3 linked regions of the Rattus norvegicus genome follow. The protein of the gene in region 1 purifies or fractionates together with the protein of each later gene. This does not show direct contact. Links are inferred from orthologs where the notes say so. Each region holds a gene or a part of one and is shown in the gene's direction. Other genes may lie near its edges.

Region 1 (4,148 bases):
CAAGTTTCCAAATATTATTGACTCCTACCCATGTTGCTGGAAGTCCTTACGTCTGCCCTGTAGCCTTCAGGCTGCAGGCTCTCTAGTCCTCTGGACTCAGGGAAAGCATCTCCCCCACACACTTTTCCCTCTAGATCTTAGTCTCCTCGGTCTCTTACCTCTCTTTTCTAGGGAGCTGAATCTGAGGCTTCGAGATGAGAGAGATGCCTGTGAGACTAAGCTGCTGGGCAGTAGCCACAGGAAGGCTCTAGCTATCGCCCACAAGCCGGGACCTATCTACTGCTGCTGTTGTTGTGGCTGGGCTCGGCCCCCCAGACGAGGCTCTGGCCATCTTCCTAGTGCCCGATGACCAGCCAGCCACCAAATGACTCACTTCCTTATCCAGAGGACTATTCTTAGGAGGGGATTGGTCTTGGGTGGCGGTTGCTTGCTAAGTATGTAGCTCTACCCAGAAAGCATCCCATGCCTGAAGGAACTAACCCTCAGAGTGGTCAGGTCTTCAGTCTTTATCCTGTCTTCCTTAATCTTTGTCTAAAGGACCAATAAAGGCCACTGTATACTGTGCATTCCTTGGTTTTTGTGTGTTTGGGAGCTACAGTGCATTTGTGGTTCGTGCACTGGGTAACACGGAGAGATTTACAGGTGCACATTACCCAGTCGTTCCTGCCCCTGTGGGTCCCCTTGTGCTTGTGTATGTTCTGTGGTTCACCAAGCCCTCACCATCCCTCACAGCTGAAGATCCAAGGACTCAGGTTTCAACAGGTGTAAACTCCCGGGTGCTGGTCCTCAAATGGAAGGTCCCGCCCCTCACTTCCGTGAGGTCAACTAGCGCTCTGGTCCAGACCATCATCCTTCTGGCACAGTTCCTAGACAGACCATATGCAATCCACACTGGGTTCCTCTCGCAGGGCCCTTATGTCTCTGTGGGACCTTTCAGAACCCTCCACACTCGATCTGGAGCTCCCCCTCTGGCATTTCCTCAACCGCTAGAACCTGCAGCTTCAGAGTTGTTCTCCCGGCTTAGACTGGAGAAGAAATTGGTCTTGACCTCAGTTCTGGGCCTCTAGTGCCACCTTCCCCACCTCTTCGCTCCCCACCTGGGTTCTTTCTCCAGCCTAGCTCCTCTATTTCTGGATGAGTCCGAGGTTTTGATAAGAACGGGTGCCCTCAAGCTAACTTTACAGACCCACAGGGCAGATCTCCAGGTCTCTCCCTTGCGCCTTAGCACCAAACCAGTTAGGACTTGCCTGCCCCAGCCGGCCGTGGGCGGGGCTGCGCCTGGGGCGGGGTCGCGCGCGGGGCGTGTCCTCGCAGGCCCCGGGCCGAGCATTCTCTGTACTCCGAATGAGCGCTCCTACAGTGGCTGCCGGGGCTGGTATTTCAAAGCGTGGTTGGTGAGTGCTCCGAAGCCGAAGGGTATGGGGAGCAGTGTCCTGAGTTCCTTGCTTACTGGTGTTCCTAGTCTCCGTGGCTGGCCTCGGGGCCACCCAGGAGGCAGAGCCCGTAGGACAGGGCTGCAGGCTCCTTTCCGGAAGATCGACGCCGGGGCAGGGCAGCTAGAAGCGCGGCGGGAAGGGGGAGGGGTAAGGAAGAGAGCCTCTGTGGTTCTTGGGCAGGCCTGGCGGTCTCTTTCGTGGAGAAACCCGGAAAGTTAAAGTCTGATCACCCTATTCATTGTCCCTGGACACCGGTTCCCTCCCCTGAGACCGCAGGTCCGCCCACTGGCACGGGGCGGAGGCGGGCGGCAGGGACGGTGGTGACTTCATCTCTGTGACGCGGGGATTCCTCGCCCAGCCGACTTCAGTATTTCATCCCGTCGGTGGGGCGGGTGCCCGGTGCCATGGAGGGCTCAGGGGAGGTACTGGAGCTGAGTGTAGGGAGGTAGTGTCCTGGCCGCAGGAGCTATTTCTGGCTGGTCCCGGCTCCCACGCGGACACTTTCTCAGGGAATTTACATTCAGTCTGCTGATTGTGCCTTGGCTTAGGTTGCTGGGTATGTCGAGAGAACCAGCTCCCCATAGGTTCTGGGCTTTTAGAGCCTAGCCCCGGGGTTTGCATTGTGGCTAGCCAAGCTTCTGTTTATGTCATTGCCCGCATCCAGTGAGGCAGCATGTATTTTTGGGTCCCATCTCCGATTGGAGGTCTGAAATCTCTCCCACTTCCAGAAGTGGACGGTTGATGCATCCTCCTTCAGTTTGCAGTCGCTGCTGTTTGGTGGGGAGGGAATGTGATGGATGAGCCTGGAGGGCGGGGCACCTGGAGAAGGCATTTGTTCCTCCCTAGATCAGGCAGGCCAGCAATGTTCTCTGGCCTACTGCCGTCCAGTAGAGAACAGTAGGCTTGGCTGTTATGCTTCCTTGCAGATCTGGTGGCTCTGAGAATCATTCTGATTACTGCTTCAGACACCATAGGAGTGGCAAGATCCCACCTGCCAGGTGAAGGGCGGGCAGATCAGTGACTTTGACCTGTACCTGCTGGTCCTGACTTCCAGAGGTGAGTGCTGGGGCTTGGGCAGATCCTTAAGGTAGCCGGCTAAAAGTTCTGTTTAGGTGCCTGTCTGGGAGCCTGGCCTGGCTCAGCTGAGGTTTGTACACTGTCCTCAGATGCTAGTGTGTCTAGGGGACCCCTGGAGGACGGCACATGCACATCTGTGGAACTGGGGAGCAGATTGCACAGGCTCCACCTACCGGCATTTTATTGTCTCTGCCCTGGCTGGTGGTAAAGTCGGCTGGCGGTAAAGAGGCTCAGAGTCCTCACAGTGTACCTGAGGGTGGCCTGAACTCGCTGCTTCTCTGCCATCTCTGGGGATGGGTATGAGTTGTAAGTACCTATCAGCCTGATCGTGGGGCTCAGGAAATGCTTGAGGGTGTCTATCCACAGGAATGTACCCTGAAGGCCTGCTGGAGCTTCCCCTAGTTGCCAGCAGGAGTGAGTCAGCAGATGTTTTGGGGGTCCTCCATGATAACCCAACATGTGTGTCTGGCCGTGAGGGGTTAGTCCAGGAAGTGACTCACATATGGTTCCTGGGAAGGCTCCTCTTAAGGCAGATAGCTGGCCGGACTCCAAACTCTGCAAGCATCTGGGGACTGCTGCATCCTCTCTGTCTTCATCGGTGTATAGCTTTCTTCTTAGTTGGAGGCCTGGTGCTTCAGGCCATCTGACCTCCTCCCCATTTCTCCAGGCCCAGGATGGGGGAATTCAACGAGAAGAAGGCAACATGTGGCACAGTCTGCCTCAAGTATCTGCTGTTCACCTACAACTGCTGCTTCTGGGTGAGAAGAGCTACATTCTCCCTGCATCCCTATTCCCCATGTTGGAGGCCTGGCCTAGGAGCTCAGTCCCAGCTTCCAGACCCAGGCCTCATGTGGTGACCACTATATACTTTCCGCAGCTGGCTGGCCTGGCCGTCATGGCAGTGGGCATTTGGACACTGGCCCTCAAGAGTGACTACATTAGTCTGCTGGCTTCAAGCACCTACCTAGCAACAGCCTACATCTTAGTGGTGGCTGGTGTTGTTGTCATGGTGACTGGAGTCCTGGGCTGCTGTGCCACTTTCAAGGAGCGACGGAACCTGTTACGCTTGGTCAGCAGGGCCTGGTGGCACCTGGTGGGGCTAGGGATGCCTGACATGGATTTCTCAGGGGTCTCTGGTACTGGTTCTGGGGGCCTGACTTGTTGAGTGTATTCCTGTAGGCTGTCCCTGTTGAACTCACTGGGGCAGACACCAGCTTCCAGAGAAGTATCAAGGAGCTAGGCAGCCCAGAGTGTAATTCCTATCCACATTCCTCTTGCTTGGCCTCTTGGGTTGGGGGCTTGGCTTTGTGGTGCTTTGGCACTAGGAACCCCCCACTTACTGGGTCCCTGTTCCCTAGTACTTCATCCTGCTCCTCATCATCTTCCTTCTGGAGATCATTGCTGGCATCCTGGCCTATGTCTACTATCAGCAGGTAAGGGCCTGAACAGGCCACAGGGTAATGTCCGGAACGAGGCTGTCAGTCCCACTGGAGGTCTTGACCAGCTTTGCCCTTACGAGTTTAATCCTACCCACAGCTCAACACCGAGCTCAAGGAGAATCTGAAGGACACCATGATCAAGAGATACCACCAGTCAGGCCATGAGGGTGTGACCAACGCTGTAGACAAGCTGCAG
Region 2 (3,500 bases), on another chromosome or scaffold:
GAGGCTCAGGAAGGATGGGTAGACTGTGCGAGCCTGCATAGCTGGTGCACGGTAGAACTGGGGTTTATGTGCCAGGGGAACTGTGGGTAATACACTGCAGTCCCCTCCGGCAGGGCTCTGGCCTCCTGTCTGCTTTGACCTGGGGTGTCTTCTTACCCAGGATGAATCATCGACTGCAGAGCTTCTTTAGTGGGACAGTGATGGGCGAGGCTGCCATGAAGACTGTGAAGGATGTGGGAAGCCCCCTGAAATATGAATTCCAGGTAAGGGCGCCTCTGGGGCCCTGGCTGTCGACTCTTCTGAAAGACCGTGGGGAGACTGTCCCGTATCTGGGGTTCAAACATGGAAGGTTTTAGGGTTGTTGAGCTGTGGGTGGTTTTCCAAAGGATGGTAACCATGACACTCAGGTCATGTGTGCCCACAGGTGAGCCCAGTGGGAGACGGGCTGGCAGCCTTGGGCACACTGGTTCTAGGTCTGGAGTGGCCGTATGAAGTTACCAATGGCAAGTGGCTGCTGTACCCTACGGAGATCACCATCCACAGCAATGGGTCCTGGCCCTGCCAGCCACATGGAAACCTTGTCAACCCTCTCAACCTTACTCTCTCTGTAAGTCCATCATCAGGGATGGTCCATGCATGTCTCATTTGCATGGCGGAGGCAGAAAGGCCAGTGTCTTCCCTGGCCACCTTGGTGGTCTTTAGGAACCTGACTATTCCCTGTCCCTTCCCTATCTCCCATCAACTATTCTCTCTCTCTGACTTCCCAACATATCTCTGCCCTCTCTAGGACCCTGGAGTCAAGCCACTGTCCCCACAGCGCCGGCGGAGACAACTAGATCCAGGGGGAGACCAGGGTCCTCCACCTGTCACGCTAGCTGCTGCCAAAAAAGCCAAGTCTGAGACCGTGTTGGTGAGTGGCCAGGGCAAAGGTGGGGAGGGACTGCACAGGCCATCACAAGGCACATGGACATCAGGGGCCCACAGGCAAGAGTGATAGTGACCACTCACACAGAGACACAGAGACACTAGAGAGAGAGGTACTGTACATCTGGGCCTCAAGAGTCTCCTGACAAAAAAACAAACTTAACCACCAACCCTAGGGCACATCCAACACAGTGGTCCCAAAGAAGAATGCTGGCACTTCCAAGGCCTCACACCCTGTTGGGTGTAGCTTGGACATTTGGTGTGGGGAGGGGCTAGAGGATGTTTAGGGCAGAGTGCAGGAAGAAGTTGAGGAGAACATATGGGGACCCGGGGGAGGCCTTACTGGCTGGAGAGGTTGAAGGGGTATCCCAAGACAGCAGACGACACTCAGCGTGCTTGGCTTGGGAGAGGTTTCTGAGGCTGCTCCTTGCCAGTCTGAGCAGGGCCTATGCTTCATGTGTTCCCTGAATCAGAGGAGTTTGGCCCGAGAATGCAGCTTGAATGCGTGTTCCTAACGTAGAGGAATACCCATGAGCAAAACAATGAACCCCAGGCTGGGACGAAGTCTAGGAGGGAGAAGGTAAGGAGCCAGTGTCATGTCTAGAGACTCAGGCTGTCTCCTGTCTGTCCTCCTGTCCACCTCAGACCTGTTCCAATGGCCGCGCCCGCTGTGTGTGGCTGGAGTGCCCCCTTCCAGATGCCTCCAACATTACCAATGTGACCGTGAAGGCACGGGTGTGGAACAGCACCTTCATTGAGGTCAGTGCTGGGTTTGGAGGCCTTCATTGCTATTCACTTGGGTGAGGAGAGTGGCAGGGAGGGATTGAAGGCAGGGTGTGTGTGAGTGCAAATGTGCATGTATATAAAACAGTATCATGTTCTGCACAGTTGCGTGTCTGGATGTGAATGTGTAATATTTCCACATCAGTGTTGTGGTTGCATGTCACGTGTGTGAATGTGTAATAATTCCAAAATGACCTTCTATGTGTCCTTTACATTCTATCCCTGTGCCTTTGCCCTTGCTCCCCCCCCCCACACTGTAATGCCAGCTTTTTTTTTTTTTCTATCTCTATGTGTGACTTCCCTATTAAGCTATCAAGGTCTCCAGCAACCTTCACTTCTAATCATTGAGATCCTAGCTAACTTCAGAAGCTGGAGTCCTCTCCTCTCAATAAGACATGTCTTTCCTGGAAGTTATCTGGGTCACCTGTCCTGCTTGGATAGATTATGGGTACTCTTTTTTTTTTCCCCTGGAGCTGAGGACCAAACTCAGGGCCTTGTGCTTCCTAGGCAAGTGCTCTACCACTGAGCTAAAGCCCCAGTCCTTTTTTAATTTTTTTAAAAAAGATTTATTTATTTGTTATATATAAGTACACTGTCACTGTCTTCAGACACACCAGAAGAGAACATCAAATCCCTTTATGGATGGTTGTGAACCACCATGTGGTTGCTGGGATTTGAACTCAGGACCTCTGGAAGAGCAGCCAGTGCTCTTAACCACTGAGCCATCTCTCCAGCCCCTATTATGGTTATTCTTATACCCGCCCTTTCTTGGTATGTAGTCTAACCTTTTCTTGAGACTAGACTATCAATCTTTCTGGCCTATAAGATTGGTTCCTGTCATATCTGCTCAGGCTCCAACGCTGGACTACAAAAGCCACCTTAGGTAAATGAAGGGGCATGGCTATGTACCAGAAACAGGTGCAGAGTAGATTTAGCCCACGAGCCTGACCTAAACTGTGCCCTTCCCTGTGTCTGCTAGTCTGGCATCAGCACAGAGCGCAGTGCAGAGGGATGAATGGGATACATTTGTGTGTGAGAGAGGCTGGATGACAGATCCTTTGAGAGTGCCGCCTGGTGGGGCACTGAAGAGGGTAGAGAGTGTAGAGTCAAGGGGGAGACCAAGAGAGACGTCAGCTGCTAGTTCTGACCCCTCTATCTTCTTGGTAGGACTACAAAGACTTTGACAGAGTCCGAGTAGATGGCTGGGCTACCCTGTTCCTGAGAACCAGTATCCCTACCATCAACATGGAGAATAAGACCACATGGGTGAGTAGGTGTTAAAATGATGCTGGTCCTGATACTGGAGGCCTGCTACCTTAGTTTCCTGGGAGAATCGTTAAGTTCCAGGTCTGCTTAGGCTACGGTGAATTCAAGGCCAACCTGGGCAACTTACTGATATTCTGCCTCAAAACTAAAAGTGAGGGGCTGGGGAGATGTCTCAGCAGGCAAAGGCCTTGCTCAACTAGTGTGAAAACCTGAATTTGGATCCTTAGCGCTGAAGCACCCAGGTAAAAGCTGGGCACTGGGCTGGAGAGACGGCTCAGTGGTTAAGAGCACTGACTGCTCTTCTAGAGGGCCTGAGTTCAATTCCCAGCAACCACATGATGGCTCACAACCATCTGTAATGGGGTCTTCTGGTGTGTCTGGAGAGAGTGACAGTGTATGCACATACATGAAATAAATAATTAAAAAAAAAAAAGAGCTGGGCAGGTTGGCCCATGCACATAACTTCAGCTATAGGTCACTGAAGGCAGGGGATGCTGGGGGCTGGCCGGCCAGCCAACGTAGACAAA
Region 3 (3,500 bases), on another chromosome or scaffold:
ATGGTTTTGAACTTCCGTTCCGATGCTTACGAAGAGGACATTCACACACAGCCTCATGGGCAGGAGTGTAGGTAGCTCCCTTAGTAGAGTGCTTGCCTAGTGTGCACAGAGTCCTGTTGTAACTCTAGCATCGGTTCGACTCCAGCACTGTATAAAACCAGGTGCGATGGTGCATGCCTGTAACTCTAGCACCCAGGATGTGCAGGAAGGAGAAATGGTTCCGGGCAACCAGGGCTACATGAAATCTGTCTCAAACAAGCAACAAACCCTCAACAAGATCTCTTTCACCCTAGCATGAATGGTAGAATGCTTGCTGTCTCCATTTTCTGGAACAGAGTTTTTCCTGGAGGCTGTTTGCTGTGCCTGACCTCCTGTGCACGCTCCTGTGCACGCTCCTGCGCACGCTCCTGTGCACGCTCCTGCGCTTTCTCTCCTCTGATGGTTTTAGCAAGTGCTTAATGAATGTAAGTGATTGAAGTATTGGCCCATGAGAAGCATAATTAGTAGCCTCATCCAGTGACCCAGTGAGGAATGCATTCCAGAGTCCAGAAGTGAGCTTCTGACGGCCAGATCTGGCCTGCCTCCAAGCTGCATAATCCGAGGCACTGAGCAGCCAGCCACCTCTGCTGCAGGCTACAGACTTACGTATGAAAGCTGGGTTATGCTAAACACCTGGCTTCCAGCTACTGAAAGAAATGTCAGTCCAATTTGTCTGTCTGTCCATCTGTCTATCTATCATCTGTCTGTCATCTATCATCCGTCTATTGTCTGTCTCTCTGTCTGTCTATCTCTCTATTCATCTATCTATCTATCCACCTTTCTATCTGTTTTTCCAGACAGACTCACACTGTAGCTGAAGCTAGCTGTGATTTCATGGCAGTCCTTCCCTTTGTTCCCAGGTGTCTCTGTAAAATGCAAATACCAACCAGCTCAGCTTGTAGGAGCCTGCTTTCTCAGACACCTTTTCAAATAGCAAAGACCTAAGGTCGTGGAGGACAGGCTGAAAGAGTCCTGAGGCAGGAACATTGGCTATTTCCAGTTATCTTTAGTACTCTTTGAGTTCCTGAAATTCAGCCAGAAAGTGATTGGTTCCTAGCTTCAGCAGAAGAAGGTTCTAGCTTGTTCTTGAGCTCCCCCAGGTGGTCCAGTGAGAATTTAACTTTAAAATAGTAACAGCGTTGGGAAGAAACAAGTTGGATTAAACACCTCAAAGGTCCCCAAATTCTGAGAAGCAAAGGTTATGGGGCGGAGCGCTGTAAAAGAACTCGTTATCTGTTGCTCAGGGGGTGCGTAGATGCCCTTTAAGCTAACACCATTTTGTTCATCCCAACCTAGCAATTTTGGGTATTCTTGAAGCTGAAAAAGAAAGAAGAAAGTCAGGGTTGTCGTCAAGAGTTCAGTTTCGAAACCAAGGTTCTGAGCCAAAGTATACTCAGGAGCTGACCCTGAACAGGCAGAAGCAGCGGGCATGCATGGAGGAGACGCTCTGGCTGCAGGTGAGTGTGTGGCACCCGACCAGGGCTCGGGTGTCCTGGGGGACGCTTGGTTTCTGAACCTTCATCTCTGCGCTGACATCGTTTTGGAGGTCCGTTCGCATTTGAGCACACTGACTGTGTCACTGCGCCCTTTGCAGGAAAACATCAGAGACAAGCTGCGCCCCATCCCCATCACGGCTTCTGTGGAGATCCAGGAGCCCAGCTCTCGACGGCGGGTGAATTCACTTCCAGAAGTTCTTCCCATCTTGAATTCAAATGAAGCCAAAACAGTGCAGACAGATGTGAGCTTCTTGGCTTTCTCTTTTGCCAGTGTTGGGTTTGTTTTGCAGGCCACTTCCTGTGGCAGGTATGTATGGCCAGGTGTGGTGGCCGTGTGTGTGCTTTTAATCCCAGCACTCGGAGGCAGAGGCTGGAGGATCTCTGTGAGGTCAAGGTCAGTGTGATTTACACAGCAAATTTCAGACCAACCAGGGTGCAAGGTGAGACCTTAAGAAAAAATAATCAACAAAAACACTTCTTCTTATTTCTATGCACATAATTGGCCTCTGAGAAGTTGTCTCTCAAATTGGCAGTGAAGATTAAAAACCTAAGATGGGTTTTGGGGATCAGATTTCTTTTTCTTCATTGTTTTCTTCATTGTTTTTGGTCCCTGGTACTTACCGAGACTATAATTAACCAAACTTCATTCTCCTGTAGTTGACATACTTTATTCTACTGAGAACAACACAGTATGATACGTGTCTATTATTAAAATTAAGGAATAGAGTAAAACTTAGCAAAGCAAAAAAACCCAATCACAACGAAATACTTCAGTGTCTAATGCAGCTTAGTCATTATAGGAACGTGTATTCCGTGGCCTGCTGGATATGTCGTATGATATGGGATGTGTGCGCTAGGACAGAGTAGAAATGAGCCTAGTGAAGTATGACATCTTGATCCGGCATTGTTGTTGTTATTACTGCTGTTGTTGTTGTCATCGTCGTCATCATCTTTTTATTTTGTTTTGAGACAGGATTTCTCTGTGTAGCCCTGGCTGTCCTAGAACTTGCTCTGTAGACCAGGCTGGCCTCGAACTCAGACCCACCTTCCTCTTCCTCCTCCTGAGTACTGGGATTAAAGGCGTGTGCCTCCACAGCCTGGCTATTACTAGCATCATCTTGGTCACTGTCTTGGTGCTGGGAATTATACCCAGGGCCTCCCAAATGCTTAGCACGTTTGCTGTGACACCACGTGCTAGCTGTCAAGATCCAGTTGGTGAATGCAGATGTGGCTGAGTGGGTAGAGTGCTTGCCTGGCACAAAGCCTTGACTTCATCCCCAGCACCACATAAAAATGGCAAGGTGGTCCATGCCTGTAATGCCCACACTTGGGAGGTAGAGACAGGAGGACCAGAAATTCAGGGCCATCTTTGACTATATAGCAACTTTAAGGCCTGCCTAGGCTACCTGACACACTGTCTTCATAAAAACCAAAACCAAACCGAAACAACAACAACAACAACAAAAATCCAGCTACTGCTGAAATGGTAACTGAGGCCCCGGTACAGTTCCTTACCCTTAGCTTTGAAAAAGAACTCACTGCTTTCAATCTAACGCTACCCTTTGTTGGTTGTTTGGTCACCAGTTAGGATTAGTCATGTTTTTCTACCCTTCGTGTCTTGTGATGTGAAACACTGTTACTGTGTTACTAGTTCTTGTGCACAATTCCAGCTCCTGAGCCAAGTTAAACATAACAGGAAGAGGAGAACTTGTTCCTAATTAGGTTTTCCTCATCTGTACAATGGGCTCAGAAGGATAGGGTCTCTGTAGAATGTTGTGACGGTTAAATGAGTTAAAATATATAGCTCACTTCAGGGAGCATAGGGCCGTGATACTGAAACAGCTCCCCTTCAAGGGCTCCCCTACGTGAGACCATGATCTGATCAAGCCAGAATGAAAAGTGTCTAAAGCCACACAGCCCAGCAGGTGTCAGAGGTGGGTTTGGAACTCAGATTCCCCGAGGCTT

Evidence for each region. The genes of interacting proteins can lie anywhere in the genome.
Region 2: the proteins of Cd151 (region 1) and Itga3 purify together in Homo sapiens (co-immunoprecipitation; 4 studies listed by BioGRID and IntAct, with this or other methods). This does not show direct contact. The link is inferred for Rattus norvegicus from reciprocal best matches to the Homo sapiens genes CD151 and ITGA3.
Region 3: the proteins of Cd151 (region 1) and Itga6 purify together in Homo sapiens (co-immunoprecipitation; 3 studies listed by BioGRID and IntAct, with this or other methods). This does not show direct contact. The link is inferred for Rattus norvegicus from reciprocal best matches to the Homo sapiens genes CD151 and ITGA6.

What each region holds. Positions count from the first base shown.
Region 1 is NC_086019.1:205,992,952-205,997,099, forward strand, and holds the start of Cd151 (CD151 antigen), read left to right. Parts: upstream 1-1,348; 5' UTR 1,349-1,394; intron 1,395-1,723; exon of another isoform or gene 1,724-1,992; intron 1,993-2,362; 5' UTR 2,363-2,492; intron 2,493-3,180; 5' UTR 3,181-3,187; coding exon 3,188-3,271; intron 3,272-3,390; coding exon 3,391-3,582; intron 3,583-3,871; coding exon 3,872-3,946; intron 3,947-4,049; coding exon 4,050-4,148. Other genes in the region: Cracr2b (EF-hand calcium-binding domain-containing protein 4A), read left to right, coding at 172-349. UniProt on the Homo sapiens protein: Structural component of specialized membrane microdomains known as tetraspanin-enriched microdomains (TERMs), which act as platforms for receptor clustering and signaling.
Region 2 is NC_086028.1:80,494,902-80,498,401, reverse strand, and holds part of Itga3 (integrin alpha-3), read left to right. Parts: intron 1-160; coding exon 161-263; intron 264-424; coding exon 425-607; intron 608-787; coding exon 788-910; intron 911-1,569; coding exon 1,570-1,683; intron 1,684-2,874; coding exon 2,875-2,973; intron 2,974-3,500.
Region 3 is NC_086021.1:77,077,203-77,080,702, forward strand, and holds part of Itga6 (integrin alpha-6 precursor), read left to right. Parts: intron 1-1,335; coding exon 1,336-1,496; intron 1,497-1,633; coding exon 1,634-1,777; intron 1,778-3,500. UniProt on the Homo sapiens protein: Integrin alpha-6/beta-1 (ITGA6:ITGB1) is a receptor for laminin on platelets. Integrin alpha-6/beta-1 (ITGA6:ITGB1) is present in oocytes and is involved in sperm-egg fusion.